2 linked regions of the Pelodiscus sinensis genome follow. The protein of the gene in region 2 interacts with the protein of the main gene of each other region in a pairwise test. Links are inferred from orthologs where the notes say so. Each region holds a gene or a part of one and is shown on either strand. Other genes may lie near its edges.

Region 1 (8,096 bases), on a different chromosome or scaffold from region 2:
TAAATTCGAACTAGAGGAGCGCTAGTGTAGCGCCTATGAATGTTAGTTTGAACTAACATTGTAGTGTAGACATACCCTTACAGAGTTTAAAAAGAAGTTAGATAAAGTCATGGATGTTGGGTCTATGGAGTGCTATTAGCCAGAGGGTAGGAACGGTGTCCCTGGCCTCTGTTTGTGGAAGGCTGGAGATGGATGGCATGAGACAAATGGCTTGGTCATTGTTTTCGGTCCATCCCCTCCGGGGCAGCTGGTGTTGGCCACAGTCGGCAGACAGGCTACTGGGCTAGATGGACCTTTGGTCTGACCCAGTACGGCCATTCTTATGTTCTTATGTTGTAAGCTCAGGGCTCAGGGTCGGGGGTCTCACTGGACCAACTTGATTTTCATGCAAACCTGCTCCTGGGTTCGCATGTGGCCTTTGGTGGCCAGGCTGGCAGCTATCCTGCCCTAGATGGCTGCTTTCCTGTGCCAAGTGCGGAGGTCGTGGACGATGGAGGCCTCCCCCCAAACCTGGATGAAGTCCACGATCTCCGCACTAGACCAGGCGGGTGCCCGCCTCTCGCGGACCCAGGCAGGCTCCGGAGGGTTGGGTGGCAGCGGGTGGCTGGCTTGTGCCCTGCCAGGTGCAGGGTCTGCTGGCTGGGTGCTGGCAGGCTTGCACCTGGCACGGGCACCGTAGCCAGACCGTGCCCCTTTAAGGGCTCCAGGGCCAGGAGGGGGGCAGAAGAGTTACCCTGGTTGTGGCCAGAGTGGCCACCAGGGCAAGCTGGGAAGGGCTAGCCTCCCACTAGTTCGAATTAAGTGGCTACACAGCCCTTTATTCAAACTACTTAATTCGAACTAGGCGTTAGTCCTCGCAGAATGAGGTTTACCTAGTTCGAATTAAGCACGCCGCCAGTTCCAATTAAGTTCAAACTAGCGATGTGCATGTGTAGCCCCTATTAAAGTTAATTCAAACTAACGGCTGTTAGTTCAAATCAACTTTGTAGTGTAGACATACCCTCCCTCTCACAGGCCTTGGGGGACAGGCCAATCCTCACTTACAGACAACGCTGTAACCTCACGCAGCACACTTCTATCATACTGATCCAGGAGCCAACCCCTGCAATCAACCCCGGGGCCAACCCTGTCCTTACATCTATACAGGCAATATTATCACAGGACCTAACCACGTAAACCACCACATCAGAAGCTCATACAACTGCACATCCACTAATGTGATCTATGCCATCAAGTGCCAGCAATGCCTCTTGGCCATGTATATTGGCCAAACTGAACCGTCTCTACAAGAAAAAATTAATGGACATAAATCAGACATCTGAAAAAGGGAACACACAAAAACTATTCGGGAACATTTTAACTTGCCTCAGCACTCATTAATGGATCTCAAAGTCACCGTATTATTTCAAAACAATTTTAAAAGCCAGCTTGACAGGGAAGCTTAATTTCATTTAAAAGTTTGATTCCTACAACAGAAATCTAAACAAAAACGTTGGCTGGATGGCCCGCTACATTCCACATCCTAATGACAAAAAAAAAAAAAAGGTACTTAGAGTGGGTACTAAGTATTCTTATCAGCTTCATTTAGCATGGACATGTTGACAATTTCTTTCCCCTTTTTCCTCCTCTTCTCCCCTCCACATCCCCTCTCTGTGTTATTTATTTGAAAACTGGACCCCTTAAACTCCATTCATCTGAAGAAGCGGATTGTGCCCACAAAAGTTTATGGTACCATCTACATTTTTTGTTAGTCTCTAAGGGTATGTCTAGACTACATGGCTCTGGGTAGATTAGTTTACTAGACATACCCAAATGAAGCGGCGATTTAAATAATCGCCGCTTCATTTAAATTAAAATGGCTGCCGCGCTGAGCCGATCAGCTGTTTGTCGGCTCAGCGCACTAGTCTGGACGCTCCACGGTCGACATCAAAGGCATTTGTCGACCGCTCCGGTAAACCTCATCCCACGAGGCATAACGGGGCGGTTGACAAATGCCTTTGATGTCGACTGCGGAGCGTCCAGACTAGTGCGCTGAGCCAACAAACAGCTGATCGGCTCAGTGCGGCAGCCATTTTACTTTAAATGAAGCGGCGATTGTTTAAATCGCCGCTTCATTTGTATATGTCTAGTAAACTAATCTACATGACTCTGGCGACAGAGCCATGTAGTCTAGACACACCCTAAGGTGCTGCAAGACTATTCCTTGTTTTTTTAAGTTTTTCCAGTTACAGACTAACACGGCTACCCCTCTGAAAATCCTGACACCTGCTCATGGACTCCTAGCAGGCCTCGCACCTCCCAATTGAGAACTGCTACAATCAATAGTAGGACCATATTTCCCAAAGGAAAAATGAGACATAGCCCAGAGCTGGTATGAGCTCTCCCCACCTCAGCATGGGGCTGGTTCAAGCCACTTGACCCTCTCCATGAGGCTGGGTTGCTGAAACCCTGTCTACTCATCTCCCTCCTCATCATGAATCTTGGCACTTCATGAGGGACTGGCATCACTGCTCATTCTCCTCCCACACACACACACACAAACACTCATTCCTCTACACTGCACCCCACTTTTTGACAAAAGTTGGCATTTGATCAGATGGCAAAAGCAAACCGGACAAAAGCCCACTGTTGCCAAAAAAGTCAGAATGATCAGGACATGGCTAAAAAAGGGGACTGTCTCAGCCAAAATAGAAAATATAACCATCGTAGCGATTAAAGTATTGCCTCTCCTTAAAATCCTTAAGTATTGCATCCTTAAAATCCTGCTAAGACCAACACAGCTACAATAACACTGCAAACGATGGTGAGAAGAGACATTCCTGCTCAAGAAGCTAATGGCACTAAGAACTCAGTCAGTATTCATTACATCATTTTGTGAACTGGATAAAACAGATATTTGTATTACCTGATTTAAACCTGAGAACAAGTTGCCAAATGCATAGTATCCAAAGCACTACGGTCACTGTCCCAAAAATAATCACAATCAACGCTCTGCTGTCCCAGTGAAAGGAAGGCATTTTGTGTATGCCCTAAGCATGCTCAACTATAATATATTTTTAATTCACTTCCTTGTGATGGATAAACTATTAACTACTTTTCTCATCGTCAAGGCTAGAAATGTAACCCTTTCTGTTCCATTTAAGGAAATATTGAGAGGCAAAACCAGAGGCAAAATGGATGAAGGATTATCATTTATTAGACCAACTTCTGTTGGAGAGAGAGACATGCTTTCAAGCTTCCACAGAATTCTCCTTCTGGTCTGGGAAAAGAAGAAGAGCTCTGTGTAAGCTCAAAAACTTGTCTCTCTCACCAATAGAAGTTGGTCCAATAAAATATATTACCTCAGCCATCGCTCTCAGACCCCCTTTCTCTCCAAGTCCCTGATCTGCATGAATGAGTTAGACCTAGAGCCAAATGAGGAGTCTCTGTAGAAGGAACTCTGCCTGTTCCATGCATTGAGGGAGGAAGAAGCCACTCAATATATGAAGCTGCTCCAATTGTCCTACCTCAGGAGGTCAGGGAGTAGGGAAAGGCAGCCCATCCAAAGGGATTTTTCCAGGGACTGATGGATTTCCCCTTCTACTGTGCTATAAATGGTCTCAAAGAGTGAATGGTCCATCATAAATGGGTAGCAGCAGCTTCAATTAAGTGTTTAAATTTCAGGTCTTGATACCTAGCTCATTTTTTAATGTCTACATTTTTGGCCAAGTCTGAGGCTTCTTGTGACCCCTCTCCCCTGCCCCACAAAGTACTGCCCTCCTTCCTATCAGAGGGTCTGCAAACACACAGTGTGTGTGTGTGGGGGGGGGAAACCCCTAGAATGGGCAGCTCTATCAGATTTGAGCATCCAGTAAGCACTGTGTAAAGGTTAAATGGTCCAACACCAAGTCTCTGGTTTCTAAAGAAGCCCCAATTTTGCATGTTGAGGTGAAAGATATATTAGATAACACTCTGGGGCTTCACAACACTGCTGTGCAACCCCTGCAGTATTGTGAACAAACAGAGTGTGAAGCTTTAGAGAAATACTTTCCTCAGTCACTACAGTTACTTGGCCTGCTAACTTCTAGGACAGTTTCCATTTTCTTTCAACAGAATCTGTAACTTTTAGAGGGCGCAGAATGCTACCTATCCTTATCCATTGCACGTATTCCTAATCTCTAGCAGCCTCCACTACTTATCTTAAAGGAGTTGATTTATGAGTGATAACATTGTAGATCTAGAGCCAAAAGCTGCACAGAAAACGCCTACCCATATACTCTTGCATGGGGCCTTTCATGCAGGTAGGTTGAACAAGACACTGAGGCCAATTGGCCATCAGTTTCCCAGTCACCTTTTTCTTGAAGATGGGCACTACGTTCACTTTTTTCCTAGATAACAGGTATGGTACCTTTTCTGATTCACTGAAGACTGTTTCTAGAGCTTCAAGAATTCTTGCTGGTATTTTTCATCAATCTCACGTGCAATTCTTTCATACTCATCAATGTGTAATATATGATGTGGGCAGATAGAGGTCTGAGCATTGGCTTCATCCCTTTTAACCAATTATAACAAGATTCACATGCCACTCTGGCACCTCCTGCTAGTTGCCATGGCAATTAGCCCTGCACAGTAGTGTGCTCTCTTCAGGTGGTGCCTCACCACACCTCCTTTATGTCTGTTCCAGGAGTCATATCTCTCCAAGGGCTGCGACATCCTCTTCAGCAATGCAGCCCTTTGGCAGTGCCACACACTGTGCTCTCCGCATCCAAGGGGCCTGCAGTTCACCTTCTCACCACTTACTTCAGTGGCCAACTGCACTCCCTTCCTCCAGGGCCACCTCCCACCTGGCTTCAGCTCCCTCTTTGCCTTGAGTCAGGTCCTTAGCCTGCACACCTCACCAGCCAGCCAGGAGCTGTCTCTTGCTCCCTCAGTCCATGCTGGGGGGACTGCACCGTTCAAGGTGCTGGCATTTCTCTCAGCCCTCCAGAAATATAGTCCTTCCTCCTTAAGCTCTCAGGGAGAACTGACTTCCTTTGGCACCGATTGGCTGCTCTCTTCAGCTCTCTTTTGATCGGCTGCCTCCAACCTCTTTTCTGCCAGCGAAGGGCACCATCACATCAATTCATTTGGAATGTGTTCTCTTTTGTATTTCTTTAATGTTCATTCATTTTTAGTATTTGATGCTAATACCAAGAGAAATGGCCCCGTTGCACTTGGAAGCAGAGCAGCAAAGGAATCCTCAGTTCCAGCATGTGACACAAGGCCTTCAGCATGCATGGCCTTGCTGACTGACTGCACGATGAAAAAGCAAACATGATTCTGGGATGCATTAACAGGAGGGTTGTGAGCAAACCGCGAGAAGTCATTCTTCTGCTCTACTCTGCGCTGATTGGCGTCAGTTGGAGTATTGTGTCGCGTTCTGGGCACCACATTCCAAGAAAGATGTGGTAAAATTGGAGAGGGTCCAGAGAAGAGCAACAAAAATGATTATAGGTCTAAAAAACATGACCTATGAGGGAAAAGTGAAAGAATTGGGCTTGTTTAGTTTAGAAAAGAGAATACAGAGAGGGGACAGGATAGCAGTTTTCAAGTATCTGAAAATATTTAAAAAGGTGTTACAAGGAGGAGGGAGAAAAAATTGTTCTCCTTGGCTATTAGGACAAGAAGCGATGAGCTTAAATTGCAGCATGGGAGGTTTAGTTTGGACACTACAAAAAACTTCCTGTCGGGGTGGTTAATCACCGGAATAAATTGCCAGTGGTGGGGTTTGTGGAATCTCTATCACTGGAGATATTTAAGAACAGGTTAGACAAACACCTGTCAGGGATGATCTAGACAGTACTTGGTCCTGTCATGAGGGCAGGGGACTGGAATTGATGATCTCTCAAGGTCCCTTCCAGTTCTATGATCCTATGGGATGAGCAGGAAAGGTGCACATATAGCCTGCCATTCCCCTCCAACACGGTGTTTGACTCTTGGGGATTTGTGCTTTGTACAGACTCAGTGGCACTGCCTCAAAAATGCCTTCTTTCATTCCTGTAAATGGCAAGGAAAGTGCAGGAAATCAAAGCATGACTGCCATTCAGGAAGTTACCACTCAGTCAACTGTTTTTTCAGGGTACTAGAGGTGTAAAAACACACACATACACACACATACCCTTACACATTCAAGTCTTTCTAGTGAAGAGATTATGGACTTCAGCAATGAATAAATCAGTTTTATTTAAATAAAATTAGACACATCTTGTTTGTTATAAACTATTACATTTTCTTTAAAAAAAAAAGGCACCAATATTTAACAATAACTTAAGGTTTAATTAGAGCACTACCTTTTTAAAATGGTATGTTTGCAAACCTGGCAGTCTTCCAACCCTTCTTTGAATTCAAACAAATTATTGGTAAGGGAGTATCAAAGGTCCTACTTCTTTGTTAATATATAGCAGTGTTCAAAACATAACCAATCAAGACACCAGGTGAAGCTTTCTGCATTAAAAAAAAAGGTTATTCCTAAAGATATTGGTTGATTTTTATCATACTAATGTATAACAATACTAGGCAGTTTGAGAATATGTCTGAATCTTTTATATTATAGATATTATAAATATATTACAATTTTCCCTTTGCTTTTTCTTGTATTTTATCATTTTAATACCCAACATTTGTACAGAAATTCAAGCAGTCTTAAAACTTGAGGCTTTAGCATCTGTTTTTACCAAATCACATTTCTCCAAATTACAGACATTTACATCACGGCATCAAAGAGTTGTGTATGTATTGAAGTTAGTCTCTTATTTTTTTATGATTTCAAGGCAGGTATTGTACTGTAATATTTCTGGGAAAAGGGAACAGAAGCAACAGTGAAATAAAGTTTATCATTCTCTCCTTTAGTTACAGAGGGGTAGCCGTGCTATTATGTAACTTGAAAAAAACTTCAAAAACAAGTGATCCTGTAGCACCTTAGAGATGAACAAAAAGATATATAAATAGTATCACGGGCTTTTGTGAGCACAACCCATTACTTCATATAAGTCAGTGGATTTTGAGATTTCTCACCTCTTAGCAGTATCAAGCCCTATGTGTTAAAAACTACTCACTATGAACCATGAGCAGCCAGCAGGTTACTAACTTTAGAGTAGAGATAGGCCTGAGAGAAAAGATTCAGATCTGGATTATGAACATTTCAAGGTTTGGGATGCAGATGTATTCAGCTCTGGAGTTTTGGTTTAATCCATTACAGTGTTTGAGTCAGACTTGATATTAAGATTCAGTTTCTAATGCCAATGTTTGTACTTGTTGAGACGTAAGGTATAGATTCACTTTCATCTATAATGTAGAGTAATCAGATTGCCTACAAGACAGATTTGGTAAAAATAGCATGAGATAGGGGAGAAAAAAACTTAAGAGGGAAAATTACTGAACATCCTGAACACTTGAAAATCCATTTTTATTTTGGCTCTTTGTAATGCCATTTTTAGTAAAAGGAGATATTTTGTGTATAAAAGAAATGATAGGATTAGTCACAAAGGGTATGTCTACACTACCCCCCTAGTTCGAACTAGGGGGGTAATGTATGCATACCGAACTTGCTAATGAAGCCCGGGATTTGAATTTCCCGGGCTTCATTAGCATAAAGCCGGCGCCGCCATTTTTAAAAGCCGGCTAGTGCGAACCCCGTGCCGTGCGGCTACACGCGGCACGGACTAGATAGTTCGGATTAGAAGCCTAATCCGAACTATCTAGTCCGTGCCGCGTGTAGCCGCACGGCACGGGGTTCGCACTAGCCGGCTTTTAAAAATGGCGGCGCCGGCTTTATGCTAATGAAGCCCGGGAAACTCAAATCCCGGGCTTCATTAGCAAGTTCGGTATGCATACATTACCCCCCTAGTTCGAACTAGGGGGGTAGTGTAGACATACCCAAAAAGTGTTAAAAGTCAAACTTCTAAATTGGAATTCTGGAAATATCATTTCTAGAGATTTATATCTGCCCAAAGCACACATAATGTATCCAGCAAACTTGACCATCCAATTCTCAGACAACTTTATAGGTTATTCACTGAATCTAGCACAGGAGCTATCGATGTCCCCTTGTAGCAATAGGCAGCTGGTATGCTAGGTGG
Region 2 (8,036 bases):
AGTCTATGACTAGTTAAATGCAAACGTGGACCACATTTGCAACAAACCAAACTTGGAAAATTACAGAAACCTTGGCACTGGCCCACAACATATTGACTGAATTTTAAATTAACAGCAAATATATTACCTGTAATGTTCCTTTTCTAGATATTATTAGCAAATTCTTAATACTGGCCAACAACTTCTGCACCTGATTAAAACCAGTCTTTCTCATGCTTATTTATTTTTACCATAGCACAATAGTGAGGTTTAACAGTTATTTCAGAAGAAGGGCGTTCTCCCGAAATAACTGCATCTACACCACTTTTTGTATTTCGAAATAGCGCCATAATGCAATTACACAAATGAAGAGCGGGATATTTAAATCCCGGCTCCATTTGCAATTTTGAATGTCTTCATTTGTATCCCTCTCTTGAAAGAGGGTGCAAGTGCTAAGGTGCCACAGGACTTTTCGTAGCTTTTGCAGATTCAGACTAACAAGGCTACCCCTCTGTTATTTACTTTGTCTTTTGCTTGCTATATAATACTGCTTTTATTTACTGTTAGAAATGTGAGGATTTGGATCAGTGGTGGGCAATAAGTGGTCTTTGAGCCAGACACAGTTAGCTCCTGGACAATTGCTGGATGCTTTATTTATCTGCATGTCCACAGGTATGTTCACTTGCAGCTTCCGTTGGCCGCCATTTACTGTTCTCGGCCAATGGACGCTATGAGTCACCATTTCCCGAAGGTCCCATTGGCCAAGAACAGTGAACCATGACCAACAGGAGCTGTGCGTGTCATACCTGTGGAGATGCAGGTAAATAAAATGGCCAGCAGCCTGCCAGAAGCTAACCCTGGCAAACCACATCCAGCCCACAGAGTGCTTATTGCCCACCCTTGGTTTGGATAGACTCTAGTGTAACAAATTGCTCATCTCTACTAAGGTGAAAAGAGCAGGAACCGAATTCCAGTTTTAGCTCTCTCATGCTAGCTGCCTCAGACTCAGCATTAGCCTCAAGTTGCTCTTCTGAATTTATGAAGGAGGTCGGAAGGTTGGTCCAAACCATCTATTTGAACTGCAAGCTTTGGTCTGGTCACCCTTAAGACTATGTCCACCCTGAACTTACTCCCTTAACATTTTCTGACAAAGCAACTACAAGCTGCCCCCGATTTGCGATGCGACTGGTTCCAGAGATAGTGTCGCAAGTCAAGGGCATCATAACTCAAGTCCGCAATTACAACAGGCATCGTACGCTGTCGTAAATGCGGGGCCGAGGACATAAGTTAGGGGATTTCAGCCTCTTTCACACTTACAGAAAAGGTCGGAAGTATGGGGGGGGGTCATAAATCAGGCCGTCGCAAAGCGGGGGCCTCCTGCACCAGTAATTTTAACCCTTGTATCTAACACTGTTCAGAGCTTGACATGATGGTTAAAATAATACTAACCACCATTGCTACAATAGTAGTGGAGCTGAGCCAGTAGTAACAAAGTGAGACATTTTAAGAAAAAAGTGAGGAAAGACAAAGTCTTAGACTTCCAATTGCCAACTGAGTTATCTTGATACTGGTCTGCTTGTCTTCTTATTACTTTAATTGATACAATGCATGGATCTTTCTTTACCTATTTAACATGTTCTTCTTGGAACACTCTGCAGAGAGCCAAGTATCATAAATCTTGTGTAACACTCATGCAGTTGACAGCCCTATAGCATAGTCCCATACTTTAGCACTCACTCCTCAGTCATAAGAGCCCAGAACAAAAACCTGCATCTGCGGAGCCTAGAACAGTTGCTATTCCCTCATTGCCACTGAGAATTCATGCATAGGTATATAGCCTATTATGGATTATAGGCACAGCAGAATGTCTTGCTCAGGCGATCCAGAGTGACAGTACTCTGGGGTCCTACGATTAGCCAAACACTCATTTAATCCCAGGGGTTGACCCAGGAAGTTGATTCTGTAACCACAGACTGTGACCAGCCTTTTCTCCTGCTTTGTTGCTCCAGCCTACCCAGTCTCCAACTCCAACCTGACTCTCACTCCTGCCTCTAGACCTCTGGGTCTCTGATAATGGCCTGATCCTTGTTTATGGGACCCAGCCCTTGCGATTCCTCCAACTCCTGCTGGGTGATTGCTACCAGTGTTCCCTGTAAGCTGAGCACAAGGACAGATTCAGATGCTACCCAGTGGACGAGCACCACCAATGCTCTTATCTCTAATAGCCTTTCTGCTCCATGTAAACATCCCTGCGATCCGCAGCTGCCACTGATGACCCAGAATTCATCCTACAACTAGCAATCAGCAAATACTCACTACACAAGAAAGTCCACTACTCATAAATAGCCTGGTACCTCTAACTAGTCCAGCACCCACTCACTCACCCATACCCCATCATCACCCCAAAATCCCCACCCAGTTGCCAGCTGCTCTTAGACTTGTGTCAGCATACACCCATTTACCAGTGTTTATTCAGTTCCATGTTGTATCCCTGCAACTACCAGGATGTTTAGATCAGAAACTCAAATTTATGACTATAGGCAAATTACCCTATTCAATAATTTGCCTGATGCAGCCCTCATGGCTCTGTGAAAAAATTTGCAGTAATGTCTATCCTGCCCACAGTTTTATGAGATACTACTGACATTATTTCACCATTTAAATCCAAACTAAAAATGAAGGGCTTAATTGTGCCAATGGTAGTTTTCAGCTTAGAAGACTGATGCCAATGGAAGAGCCTGTGGCAGTTGAAATTTTACAGCTATTCCCAACTTGTGGTCCTTAAAAAGTTAGGCCTTTAAAATTCTGCAAATAGAGACAAATCTGACTAATTGGGAGGCTCTTTCAAGAAGACAGTGATATGACAAAAATTCTGAGCTGACTAAGAGGGGCTAGTTTTCTCTTTGGAACGGCTTACAGTGGAGCTAGTGAATATAAAGAAGAATAAAAGGGAAATCAATGTGAACAAGAGAAAAATAATACACCATGACAGAGATGATAGTTGTATTTACCAGTCTTTGTGTAACTAGAACTGAGGGAGAAAGACATATCCTGGATGTAGGGAAAAAGTGGAAAACTCCCACTAGACATGAATCAGGAGGCAACTTGATATATACAGTATTACTACAGGCAGTCCCCGAGTTATGCGGATCCGACTTATGTCGGATTCGCAGTTACGAACGGGGATTTTCTCGCCCCGGAGGACTGGAGCGGCGGGACGCCTGGTCCCGCCGCCCGCCTCCTCCGGGGCGAGAAAAGCTGCTCCCCGTCTCCCTGGTCTGCTGCGGGAGCCAGCAGACCAGGGAGACGGGGAGCAAAGCAGCGCAGGACCCGGGGCCGGACCCGTGGCGCTTCCAGATCAGTTCCGGATGCCAGTTCCGACTTACATACAGATTCAACTTAAGAACAAACCTACAGTCCCTATCTTGTACGTAACCCGGGGACTGCCTGTATAAATAAAGAAAAGGAAACAATTTAGAATCTTGTTTTTGGAGCAATATAAAATTAGTACTGGACAGCACACAGCACCAGAATAGTTTTGCTAGGACCATCTGGATCATTCTTGTGCTCACGTCATACAGAAGCTCCACCATCAGACTTACCAACATAAACTATATAGTCACAACCAAACAAGAGTATTTTGCGATTTTGCTCATCAGCACTTAGAACTAGTGATAGGACACAATTCTACTCTCATGGAAGTCAATGTCAAAACTTGCATTGATTTTAATGGAATTAGGTTAAGCCCTGCCTCCTCCTCCCTTCCCTTCCCCCTCGCCTGCTAAACCACAGTACCCAGAAGGGGGGGAATGCTGTCAGTTTTCCATTTGGAATTGTCACCCTATTTCTTTGTGGGAAATTGACTTTTGGGGTGAGATATCCAACCCTTAGGGCAAAAATTGTAAATTATTAATTGATGGATATTTATTATTAGTAGTAAATATTGTTTGAAATATGACTGTGCTGTTCCTGTTAATGCTCCTATGATATTTTCACTAGATTTCAAGCAAGATATTTGTTACAATTTTGCTGGACCTATCATTTTCATTGCTGCCCTTCCACTCATTTAGTTAGACATTTTCTGCCAGTGTACCTAGGGATGGAGAGGGGAGAGGGGAGAAGGGGAGGGGGAAAAGAGCAATCGACTCCACGTGTAACATGTACAGTATAGTCCTCATCTCCTTTGGGAAGATTTGAATGGATTACAGTTCACATTATTTTAATAACTTTTAGATTAGGTCATATTTTCTTCTATACTGTTTGTAAATAATGTAATCCTTTGTCTTGTTACCTACGAAGAGTATTATTTTTAAAGAACAAGTAGAAATGCAAACCTTAGAAAGGAGAGCGGGGAAGGCAACAGAGAGAATGAAAGGGAAAATACATTTTCTTTGTAGAAATTTATTTCACGTTTAAAGTCAGGAAAAGGGAGTGAATTTCCCAGCTTTCTACCTACAAATAAATTGTGGCTTGTTTTTCTCATTTTCAATCATGGATATTGGACACTCTTTGGTATGAATGGGGCTAATCTTCTTACAACCCAACACTGAAACAGTCCAGTTTTTGCCCCCCTGAGCACAACCTGGTCTACATTGGGCCACTGAAAAGGCAGAGAGGTCCAGAGTGCACGTGTCTATAGCAAAGTGAGGTTATTTTTCTATCTACAAACCTTTTCCTAAAGCAAACGCTTAACCTGCTCCATCCAGCTCTACCTTCAGCAGAGGGCGGATCTCACCTCTCTTCCTCTCAGACATCAATCGCATTAAGGAGAAGCCAATGGCAACCACCCCACCCTTGTGCCGCGCACTGATATAGCCCTTGAAGACTACTATTCCCAGCATGCAATGCTTCCAACACCATCAGAGTGTTGCATGCTGGGGATTATAGTCCTGAAGCGGAACTTTGGCCACGTCGAACACCGCTTCCTCCATCGCCATTCGGTGCGCATGCGCCCTTCTTTCATTTCCCTCGAACCGCTCTCGCGATCTGAGTCGTCTAGATTACGCGCCCCCTGCTGCCTCAGCCGAGGCAGTGTGTGACTGACTGATAAGTGGCTCGCGAGGCCAAGTCGAGCGAGCTGTCAACGGACGGCGGCGGGAGCGAGGGAGAAAGAAGAGGACGCCGCGCGCATGCGTCACTTGGGTTCCGCCACTGCCGTCGTAGCCCTCGTGCCCGGGGGGGAGGTTGGCGTTTGATCGCAGTGCGCGCGCGGCCGCCGTGTGTGTGTGGGGGGGTGAATCAATTCTTACAGAAAAAAAGGGGGGGGAACTAGAGGAGCACGCGTGCGCGCGCCCGCGGAGGGGGAAACGAGGCGGCGGCCGCTCGGTCCGGACCCCAGCCCATTGCTGCTCCCCCTCCCCGGCGTGAGCGAGCGAGCGGCGCCTCTGCCCGGCCCCTCCCCCCGCGGCAGGCAGCGAGCGAACGAGCGAGATGGCGGCCGCTGGGACTCTGGCGAAGCAGGAGCAGATCCTGGTGCTCGATCCGCCCACCGACCTCAAATTCAAAGGTACGGGCCGCGCGGGCCGGGCTGCCTCGTGCCGAGGGGCTGCGGGGTGGCGCGGGCAGGCTGGGTCGCCCCCCGCGTGGGCCCCGGCTTCTCCGAGGGACGCGGCGGCGGCGGCAGGGCCCGAACCGGTCTCCCTGCGCGGTGGGGAACCAGAGCCGGTGACCGGGACACGGCGCCGCCGCCGCCGCCATCTTGAGCTCCCGCAGGGAATCGTGTGTCTCGGGCATGGCCAGCGCCGCCGCCTCGGGCCCGGTTCCGGCTCCAGGCCGCTGGGTTGCGGGGAGAAGCGGCAGGTGCCGCAGCAGCCGATACTGCCGGGCCGGGAGCCGGGACCCTCCGCTCTCATGCCGGGAACGTCTGAGCCGCAGGCCCTTAAACCTTCCCACATCGCCCGGCCTCCATCGGCCGGGACTGCGCTGGCATCGCTGCCCTGGCCAGAGCTCTCCCTCCCCCCGACACCTCTGTGGCGTGTGCGCCCCCCCCACCCCCGGAGCAGGGAAGAGCGGTCCGGGGGATGGAGCGTGTGTGGGGAGAGATCGGTCCCCAGGTGCTCTGCAATCTGTGCCCTGGCCGTAGCTGCGCTCTGCTTGCGGCTGGGCTGAGGCCAGCTGTTAACAATGGTTAGTAGCGGGGAGGGAGTGGTGCTATTTTGCACCATCCGCTGGTATCGCTAGAGGATCTGCTATGGCACGCTCCTTTCCCAGATGGAGTTTGACCCTTTTGGGAGGCAGATGATACGACGCTGGCGTATTTCAGATCACTTTTAGGTGAAACCTTCGGATTGTGTCGGTAGGCAGTTCATTAACTTTTTGGTAATGTGTCAGCTATTTGTATGGCTCCAGCTATGCAGTCTTATTCTGTTTGGCTTAAAACCGTTCCCTTAAAATAGCTGATTAAATACACTGTTCCTGATAAACCCTAACTTTAATAGCGAGGGGTATTCTGAGTAGATAGACGCACATTCAGTTGTTAGGAAGACAGGCTCCTTAGAAGATGAAGACCAAAACCAAACAAAAACAAGTTGTGCTGAAGGGGGTGGGTATTCATAATTATGTGGTAAGTTTCAGTGCTTACAGATTGACAAAGGGCATTAAGTGGAACATTTATTAGGTAAAGCATTTACTGGGAAACAAAATTGTTACGGTTAATGTTGAGAAATTATAAATAAGACTATTTGCATAAATACAAATGCCTTAGCTGTTCAAATAGTATTGGCAGTTCTTATACTTTTTAGCTAATCCTTTACTCTGTTTGTATTTAACTTTTTACTTTTAACTGTGTTAATTTTCAGGTTCATTTTCTATTTATAGTATTTTGGGTCCCGAGACAGTCTTGTGTTTCTTGAGAGATTTTGAAAGTTTAATTGTAGAACCCTTTAATGGGCAAGTAGAAAAAGCTAATGTGATCTTGTACCTTACAGAAGGTAACTGTGTTCCTAACTTTAGATAGCCCATGCTTTTTCAACAAGGTTTAAACCTTATCAGAGAAGACAGATTTATACCAAACTGATTTTCATTTCAGAGCTTTGAATTATTCTCTACCCGTTTAGTCAATTAAAATAAACCCTCAGGAATTACTTTAGTTTTTTTGGTAGTTACACTCAAAATTGTAGATTTTTTTGATTATACATTGTTAAAACATTATTAGTTTAAGTTTCTCTCAGAGTAGCAGGCCCCAAAATTGTACGTGGTCTTGGAGAATGACTGCACTGTATTTATATTTCACATCTCACAAGAAGAGTAGAATGAGCATAGATGCATGTCACACCAAAGCTAATATTTATAATTGCATGTGTATTGACCTAGTCCTAAAATGTCTCTTTTAGCCCAAAACACATAACATTTACAGGGTATAAACAGAGTTGTTGAGATTGCAGTCCAATGATGATTCTTACTCAAAGTGTATAGGAAGGATATGAGTAAGCAAACAAATAGGCTCAGTATGCACCTTTGGAATGGGAGCTGTAAGAATTAAGTGTAAACTTAAAATTTATTTAGACAAGTATAGATGTTGGGAAGGCTTTTCTGGAAGGGGATATTTAAAGAGTATGAAGCAAAGTAGGGCCTTTCAGTGTCTGTATAGAAGGACCAAACTTAGTGCATTTCAGATACAGTGGATCTGTTAGCTCATTCTACATGCCATCCCACTATGTACACTTTTATATTAATTGCCCATTGTTCTGACCATCAACAAAACACTTTCTCCAATGAAATAACTTAGAAAGTTGGTGGAGGGAGACTAAGTGATATATTTTCCTTTATACCAATTAAGCAATCTGATGATAATGTACCTTCAAATAGGTTCTGTTTGAAATCTAATATGGCAAAATTATATTGTGTTGATAAAAGAATAGAGTGTTACTATGGTTGCCACTGATTTGCTGAAGTTTTTTTGATGGGTGAATGGAAAGTTGTTGATTCATATAGCATTGCTAACGTCAAATACGTGTGCACACCAGACACCCAGATTAGGATTTTTAGAGTCCTGAATAAAAACAGTTTTTGTTTTGCCCCCAAAGGATTTATTTTCTAACATTTGTATAATTATAATA

The links. The genes of interacting proteins can lie anywhere in the genome.
Region 1: the proteins of VAPA (region 2) and ADGRG7 interact in binary tests that used the Homo sapiens proteins (3 or more experiments, as listed by UniProt). The two-hybrid records come from large-scale screens. The link is inferred for Pelodiscus sinensis from reciprocal best matches to the Homo sapiens genes VAPA and ADGRG7.

Annotation. Positions count from the first base shown.
Region 1 is NC_134711.1:150,957,539-150,965,634, reverse strand, and holds the start of ADGRG7 (adhesion G-protein coupled receptor G7), read right to left. Parts: upstream 3,062-8,096; 5' UTR 3,018-3,061; coding exon 2,906-3,017; intron 1-2,905. UniProt on the Homo sapiens protein: Orphan receptor.
Region 2 is NC_134712.1:85,505,126-85,513,161, forward strand, and holds the start of VAPA (vesicle-associated membrane protein-associated protein A), read left to right. Parts: upstream 1-4,971; 5' UTR 4,972-5,409; coding exon 5,410-5,485; intron 5,486-8,036. UniProt on the Homo sapiens protein: Endoplasmic reticulum (ER)-anchored protein that mediates the formation of contact sites between the ER and endosomes via interaction with FFAT motif-containing proteins such as STARD3 or WDR44.